Linked DNA regions of Canis lupus familiaris. The protein of the gene in region 2 interacts with the protein of the main gene of each other region in a biochemical or structural test. Links are inferred from orthologs where the notes say so. Each region holds a gene or a part of one and is shown on either strand. Other genes may lie near its edges.

Region 1 (3,817 bases), on a different chromosome or scaffold from region 2:
TACCTATGAAAGTGACTTCTAAGAGATTCCAAAACGGATATAAGGAGAATAATTTAAGAAACATAGATTTGTATTTACTGATCTGTAGTTATCATTACCAGGAAACTATTAAAGACAGTATTATTACCAGAAAAAATACCAAAAGTGTGGAATATCTGGCATTTACAATGAATCTGCAGAAGGCAATCAAGGCTTTCATACTACACGTTAGACTCCATTCCACAGACAGAGGTGCTACATTTCAAGACACTTAAAATTTTTTTTCTAATCCTCAGTAGAATTTGTTTTTTCAGATGAGAGGCCAGTGACTAAAGTATTCCTTTTTTTTTTTTTGACTGAAGTATTCCAAAGCTAAATCTTACTCCTATCATGTTCTTGAACATGATAAATTAAAAATTAAAAATATTTTTTATTATTTCTGAGAACGTTTAACATTTCAATTTTATTAACATATTACCACAAAGATAATTATGGTAGTGAAAAGCAGCGGGTTTTTAATTACCCTACCAGAAAATGAGAATGAGAACATGTAATGGAAAACAGCGGCTGAGAACATGAAATTGTGTTAAATCAGGGTCAGCTGCTCAATGGTCTTAGGGCACCAGGAAGTCAAAAAATCCCTAACTGAAATTAGAGTAAAGAGGAAACTGGGCCTTCACCAAACTGTGTAATGCTACAACTTCAGGCACTTTACAGGATTGGGCCACATCCCGTACTAAGAATTGGTCAAGTTGTAACAAATCTAGACCTAGTGACAAGTAAGAACTTCTAAAACAAAGCAAGGAAATGTTCATTCTTTAGTTGCCCTGCTTGTGCATTTAAGACAATACAATGCACAGAAAGTTATGTATACATAACACTACAAGGAAGCATTAAATTAGAAATGCATTATTTTTTTGCAAGTCCAATTGGTATGAAAGTCAACATGCAAATAAATCTCAATACAGAAAGAAACCAGAAGCATTAGGGGGAGAGGAAGGAAAATAACTGGGACAGGATGGGGGAGCCTTAAGGAGTACCACCCCAGAGAACAGGGAACATACAGAAGATGCTGATCGGCCAGGCCCCCGCTGGGCTACAATGGCACCAGAGACGGCTTTAATCCAACTGTGCATCTCCTCAGGACTATCAGCCTAAGGGAGAGAAAGGACTCATTCAGTCAGTTTGTCCTCAAAATCCGCTCTTACATCCATAAATCCAATGTATTCATCTTGGAAACTTACAGTGCCAACAACAAGATCATCCCAAGGTAATGGTGCCAAAAAATTTTAGAAATCGCTTTTTAAGCCAGGTTTAGCAGGTACGTTATTATAGAGACAGAAGTTGGACACCTGATATTTTAAGGCCAGACACATCAAAAAGTGTCAATATGAATACTTTTTGAGAGAAAATGAGAGGAAGGAGTCACAGACAAACCTCATTTTGCTCCATCTACTGCTATATTGTCTGAATCCATTATAAGGGTATAAATGTTAACTGTAGAGTTAAAAAAACATTTTGACATCATGTTATGTATTATTTTTCTAAACAGCATTTCTAGGACTCCACTAAATACGGAAAAAAGTACTGGTAGTCATATTCCAAAGTATCATATTCCTTGATAGGCCATGGCCTTCCAATATGAATTTAAAACTTTACTATGACTTTAAATCCACTTAAACAGGCCCTGAGAGGGGTGTACATACTGCCCTTCACTTCTGTTCCAAAATTTTAAGTCACAAGATACTCTTTTGAACCAATGATTTTTAGCAAGGAATTTTAACAGGAAAAATTCAAAGCAGGCAAAGGTAAAGCACAAATCCAGAAATCAATTTGGCAAAAAAGGGGGTTTAAAAAGATTTATGCTCTGACAGTTATTCTTGATCTAGAAACTTAACCTAAAGAAGAAATCCAGGCAAACTTAAACACAAAACTGTTCACCACCACACGCTGATCATAGCAAGTGTACAAAAACTATGAAAACAATCAGTTACAGAGTAGCAGAGAAACAGTTTAACCATGGAGCATCCCTATAATAGAGCATGATGCAGTCCTAAAAGTTTTTACAGGATTTTTAATGATGTGGGAAAAAAGACTATTTAATACATTAACTAGAATATATCACCATGTGCTTCATATGACCCCACTTGTTATAAAAACATATGCCTTTAAAAAGGTACTAAAATAAGAATAGTTTCCTGAATGTGGGATTTGGGTTTTATGTCATTTCTTCATATTTTTTTCTATTTTCCAAATTTTCTGCAATAATCATATGTAACTTTTATAAAGCAAAAACAAATGTCCTCTAAAAAAAAAAAAAAAAAAAAAACCTTTAAATCTAACTAATTCGCTGTGGTAAATAAAAAGTGTATTTTAAACTTAAATACAAAATGTCTATCTATGTCTATCTATGGTCTATTTTTATTGTGGGAATTTTAGATCCTATTTTTTTAATTACCAAAAATGATACAATCAAAACTCCAAAATATGTGCAAAATGATCCGAACTGAAAGTTGGGGTTTAAGTTAAAACAGTATTTCCCTTCCCACAAATACTACTTAATTTCTATTGTGCCAATTTGGAGCAAAAAGTACCCCTAATTTGCTAAACATATGACTTACCAATAATTTTATATATAGCTTTTTTTAAAGTTGTGAATTACAGTTGCCATGTTTTTCTTATTTGCATAAGCAATAAATTTATTTATATTTATTTCACTTCTAAAATTATTAATCTCTTGGTAGGAGAATCTATAATCGCCAAAAAAGTATCTCACCTGCACATAGAAAGTTCGAGACGATGTTACAATTTCAAAGAGATTGTCCCTCATCATTATGTCACTGTCAACAAAAACAAACGTCCAATTGCACGTAAATAGCAGTTGTTGGATAGTGTTTCTTTCACTTGTTTATCTAGTACCAAATATATGTCAATAAGAAAATAAATAGAGATAAAATACTGGTGTCATTGAGTAAAACCAAATTAGCATCTTTTTCAATTTATTCTTACATTAAATTTCACATATTTTATATAGTTATACATATTTTTAGAAAAGGTTCATAAAAGAAGTTTCAAATTCAAAGTTTTCTACTGCTCATAAATCAGTTTGCTCAAAGAAACACTGGCACAGTTAACACATGTCCTTACAAAAAGCTCTATTCTTCAGCAGCTTCCAAATATTAAAACTAGTAAAACATCAGTCTGCCAGATATGACAAATTATTCATATTAAATTCTTTCCTTCCCATTGATAAGCCTAGGGATTCTTAATTTTTAGTTTTCAAGTGAAACAAAAAATATCTCAAAACTTTAACCTGAGGATTTTGTAAGTTCAAGCATATCCCAACAATGAAGAGTTGAAAACAACACTAGAAAAAACACAGAAAAATATCATCTGTACACATCAATCAAACCTAGGCCCCGATGAGTATTAATTAGATGTTCCAGGCACTAAGGGAGGGCTGGTGCTTACCTCTGCTTACACTCCTGGACTTTATGAACCTCTTTAAGTGGTATTACACGGAGGGGTTCTTTCTCCTGGCAAAAAAGCAAACAGATACATGAGGTATATTCTCAAAATCCTTTTAAGAATTAGTTGTCTTACTTGGAGATCTGTATGAAAACTGCTTCTTTCTTGACCTAAATCTACCTTCCAGAACCGACCAGCATCAGAGTAGCTCAAACACTAGAACTTTATAAACACTGTAGTTTGAAACAAGGAAACTAGCATAGAACCCTTATTCACACTATTTCTGGTCTTAATGACAGTGTAGCTTACTAAAAGCCATTAAACCATCAGACTTTACCCCGATAGACCCCTATGTACCCTGTAAGTGGAG
Region 2 (4,279 bases):
ACATGATTAATCATTCCATGTAGTAATTTCACTTCCACATCTCTCAGATTGGAAAAAAAAATCAGGTTGTGTTAGAAGCACATTTTAGGTCTCTTGGGAAGGAATCCACACCAATGATACATTTTCTCTTTCTCAGATTATCATTTCTGACCTATATAGGACAAAATAGCCCTCAAGGAGCTCAATGACATAGATGCCTCTGATCCCTTTCTCCCAAGCAGGCGGGTTCATGGTAAGCAGTAAGTGACAGCTAAGAATGATTTTTCCTCAGAAGGTTACTGCCACTCTGAGCCAATGGAAAACAATAAATACCATCTTAACTGCCTCAGTTGATTTCTGTGTTGAAACTGAGGAGTGTAGGTATGGATATGTATTAGAGGCATTTTATATCAGTTATATATGAACTATGAAATTAAAAGGGAAACCTAAAGAACTATAATTTTTTAAAGGGACAAACTATTTCCACAGTGTTAGGCATGCATATAGCATCCCCAATATTTACATGACTGTAGAAGTCCATACTTCCAAGTCAACACTTTCCACTGAATTGAATGTTCTCATTGGAATTGATCAACCTCTTAGTGAGATGTCAGGCATACGCTATAAATTTGTGTAACTGCCTTTACCCATGAACCCTTTTTATTAAAGCAGAATGCTTATCAAGGTCACTGTGAAAGATTGTACTTGAAAGCTCCAGGGGAAGACTCTAGAAGTAAGAATCAACAGAAGACAGATTTAATTAACACTTTAAAGTTTATGGTTTGTCAAGGACCTATTGGCCTATCGCTTTTTGGATTTCATTAACAAATGCATCTTGTAGAACGAAGAAGTCAGAATGATATCAAAAGCCAGCTCTCCTAAAAAGGGACTCTAAAGCTTCTCATTTTCTCCCTTCTGGCAGATCTGGTTTGAATAAGCAGTCTTAAGATTTAAAAGGCTGGAAAGACTATGGCTAAGTAAACATGTGTGTATTTCTTTAGGTAAGATTCTACAGGTGTAAGTATACTCAGGGTCTGGGGAAGAGAGAAGGATCAAGCGTGTATGTATGCATGTGTTTGTTCTTATACATGATTTGGCAAATTATAATCATATAAAATATAATAAAAAAGGTTGCTAAACCATCTCTACTTGTAACTTTGGGTCTTGAATACTACATAACACAGACAAGATCACTTTAAAGTGCATGTATAAGAAAAAAAAAAACCCTTTTACAAAATGCCAGATTATACTAGTTTTGAAAAAAAAAGACACATACAAATTCAAAAAAAGATATCAGATCATCAGTAAGTAAAATACCCAACCAAGAGTTTACTATAATCATATAAGGTAATACACATTATTTTTAATATCCTTGTCACATAAGAGGCTTCAGAGAAGTAAAATATCCTATTTTATGAGACAAGAGGTTTCCTAAGATCATGCTGCAGGAACAATCATTTAAAAATAAAATTATTTACTCCTTAATCCACAAGGCAAGATCATACTCATTGCAATCTTTCTGCTAAAACCTTTATTTAAAAAGTCATTAGAGTTGTAAATAAATAGAAGTAATAGTATTATCACTTACCAGCCAAGTAAAGGAATTAGAAGTCGTTCAGTTTCTCTAACGTGGGGATGTGAGTAGATCTGAAATCTCTTCTCACAAGGCTATTTACAAAATAGTTGCAACCCTCTGGTGAGCATTCTGTTTATTTCATGAAGTGTGGGCCTTTGAGTATTTCAACCCCTTCTGCAGAGCCCATGGTTTTTCGGAGCCTCTAAGAACTTCAACTTCACTCTCCAGCTTGCATTCCTCCCAACACCCTACGGAGAATTATTCTTGAAGTTGTTGCTCAGAGTTTAATCTGTGGAACAAGAGGACTCCTCAGAGCCCTGTATGGTAGCTATAGCAGGTGGATAAAGAGGGTTTTCGTCTATCAAGGAAGGAGGGGGGGGCAAGGGGTGTCAGGCGGCACCTCCTTCTAGCTGCGAAGAGCAGGGAGCCCAGATGCCCGCGGCGACGGCAGTGGCGGCGACGGCAGCTCCGCTGTGTCCGGGCGGCAGCAGCCCAGGCCGGAGACGCTGTCCATCCCCTCCGGTGCTGAAGCACACGGACTGGAACCCAGCCGGTCCCCAGAGTCGCGCTTCCTCCACCAGCGACCGCAAAGGGCTTCCTTGTCTTCCAGTCTCACCTTCTTTCCTCTGGCGTTTTATATTTTGGTAGGGGTTAACTGCTTTTCAAAAATAATGCTCTCCTACTTATTTGGTGGCAACGTTTCCGGGCATTATCTGACATTAGAGGAAGGAATCCGTTAGAGATCAGATTTGAGCCTCTCCTCACTTTTCAGTTCAGTTCATCCCTGAACGAGTTTCCTAATGTAGAAATAAAAGGAAACGCACGCACCAGCGCGCGCATACACGCGCATGAGGAGGGGGGGGGAGGAAGGGAGGGGGAAGAGAGAGAATATGAATAAATATAGATGATGTATCGTGGAAAATCCAGAGTTTCTTTTGGTCTCTAATTACAGAAAATGGAAAGGGTTATTTTGAACGACTCCACAATCTTGATTACCAATTAGGGCGACCACACTTAAATTCTGAAAAGCCCCGTTTGAAATCCCTGGGTTAGACACAGTAAAGAGGTCGTGGGCTCTTCTTGGACCCTCCAAGAAGAAATGACGGGTTAGTTTAAAATAAATAAATAAAACGAGAGGACGGGGCGGGGGGTAGGGGGGAAGAAAAAGAAAAAGGAAAGAAAAAGCATCTCGTCTTTGCTACCTTCTAAAACGCTGCTGAACTGGCTCGGAATCGTTGCAGAGCAGCTAAGAGGATCAGCCGGACGCGGCGCGCGCGAGCGTCAGTGCTCCCGCAGCCTGGAGAAACCGGGTGGCGAGTCGCGAGCCGCGGGGGTTGCATTCCCAGGGCAGTGCTCGAGAGCCGCCCACGGCCCGGGCTCCGGCAGGGGAGCGGGAAGAGGCTGATTCCACAAAGGATAGAGTAAGAGATGCACAAAGTCAGCGGGCGGGCTCGACCATCTCCGCCCTTTCGGGCCGGAACAATGCCCACCCCGCCGGGCTGTTGCCTGGGTTTTCAGCGCATTTCCCCTCCGCCGCCCCCGCCGCCCCCCAGCCTCTCTGGTCCGGCGTCCCCAGGCCTTCCAGGCCCTCCGCTCTCGCTCTGCACAGTGCCCCCGCCCCTGCCCGTTCTACCCGCTGTTAACAACCGGCTGATGACAAGCATAAGGAAGGGTCTGCGTGGGTGGTCCCCGGGGCGGTCACCGGGGGCTTCGCCACCCGCACTGAGCACCGCGTGCAGATGCGAGTGCTGTGGGCTGGGGGACTGAATACAGAACGTTGAAACTGTTGGAAAACTGATCCAAATCTCATCCACGGGGACCCTGGAAGAGGGAGGATGTAGTGCAACACAGCCCCCCCCCCCCCCCCCCCTTCAGGCTCTGGCCTTAATGCAGTGAAGATTTCAGCGCCAGGAGGCTGTTGGTAGACTTGGGAGGAAATTAGGGGAAGAATTACTGGGGGGGGGGGGGGGGGGGGGGCGGAGCGAAACACTATATTCTCTAGGGAGGTGGGAGAGGGGCTGTCGCCCGTCCCCGGCCTCCCTTCCTTGAACCCTTTTGCTCCGATTCTGGCAGCACCCGGGAAGTCGTAACCGCTGCGTCTTCCTCCTGCGCTTGCATTTCGGATTAGCTGGTGGGTCTGCAGCGGTCCTCGCCGGCCGAGCCGACGCGCTCTCCTAGGCCCTGCGGGCGGCGGGCGCGGGAGGCCCCAGCAGCGGCGGAGGACCCCGAGTTGTTCCTCGGGAGCGGAAACGCGTTGGATCGGGGACCACTTGGGAATGAAAAGCAGACTGACAGGCTGTTTATTCACACGAAAAGTCCGTGGTTTCGTTGGACTTGCACTGTTTGGCTGCGCAGCGCTACCGTCCTTCCCCGGGGCTACTCGGGCTGGGGCTCGGGCCGGGGCTCGGGCTGGGGCTGGGGCTGGGGCTGGGGCTGGGGCTGGGGCCGGGGCCTGGGCTCGAGCTGGGGCTGGGGCCGGGGCTGGGGCTGGGGCCGGGGCTCGGGCTGGGGCTGGGGCTCGGGCTGAGGCTGGGGCTGGGGCCGGGGCTGGGGCTGGGGCTGGGGCCTGGGCTCGAGCTGGGGCTGGGGCCGGGGCTGGGGCCGGGGCTCGGGCTGGGGCTGGGGCTGGGGCTGGGGCTCGGGCTGGGGCTCGCGCTGGAGCTCGGGCCGGGGCTGGGGCTGGGGCTGGGGCTCGGGCTGGGGTTCGGGTTGGGGCTGGGGCTC

Evidence for each region.
Region 1: the proteins of SNTG1 (region 2) and PLEKHA1 form a complex in vitro, tested with the Homo sapiens proteins (2 studies listed by BioGRID and IntAct, with this or other methods). The link is inferred for Canis lupus familiaris from reciprocal best matches to the Homo sapiens genes SNTG1 and PLEKHA1.

What each region holds. Positions count from the first base shown.
Region 1 is NC_049249.1:32,368,013-32,371,829, reverse strand, and holds part of PLEKHA1 (pleckstrin homology domain-containing family A member 1), read right to left. Parts: intron 3,516-3,817; coding exon 3,451-3,515; intron 2,820-3,450; coding exon 2,756-2,819; intron 1,134-2,755; coding exon 1,044-1,133; intron 1-1,043. UniProt on the Homo sapiens protein: Binds specifically to phosphatidylinositol 3,4-diphosphate (PtdIns3,4P2), but not to other phosphoinositides. May recruit other proteins to the plasma membrane.
Region 2 is NC_049250.1:2,296,793-2,301,071, reverse strand, and holds the start of SNTG1 (gamma-1-syntrophin), read right to left. Parts: upstream 3,026-4,279; 5' UTR 2,758-3,025; intron 2,353-2,757; 5' UTR 1,568-2,352; intron 1-1,567. UniProt on the Homo sapiens protein: Adapter protein that binds to and probably organizes the subcellular localization of a variety of proteins. May link various receptors to the actin cytoskeleton and the dystrophin glycoprotein complex.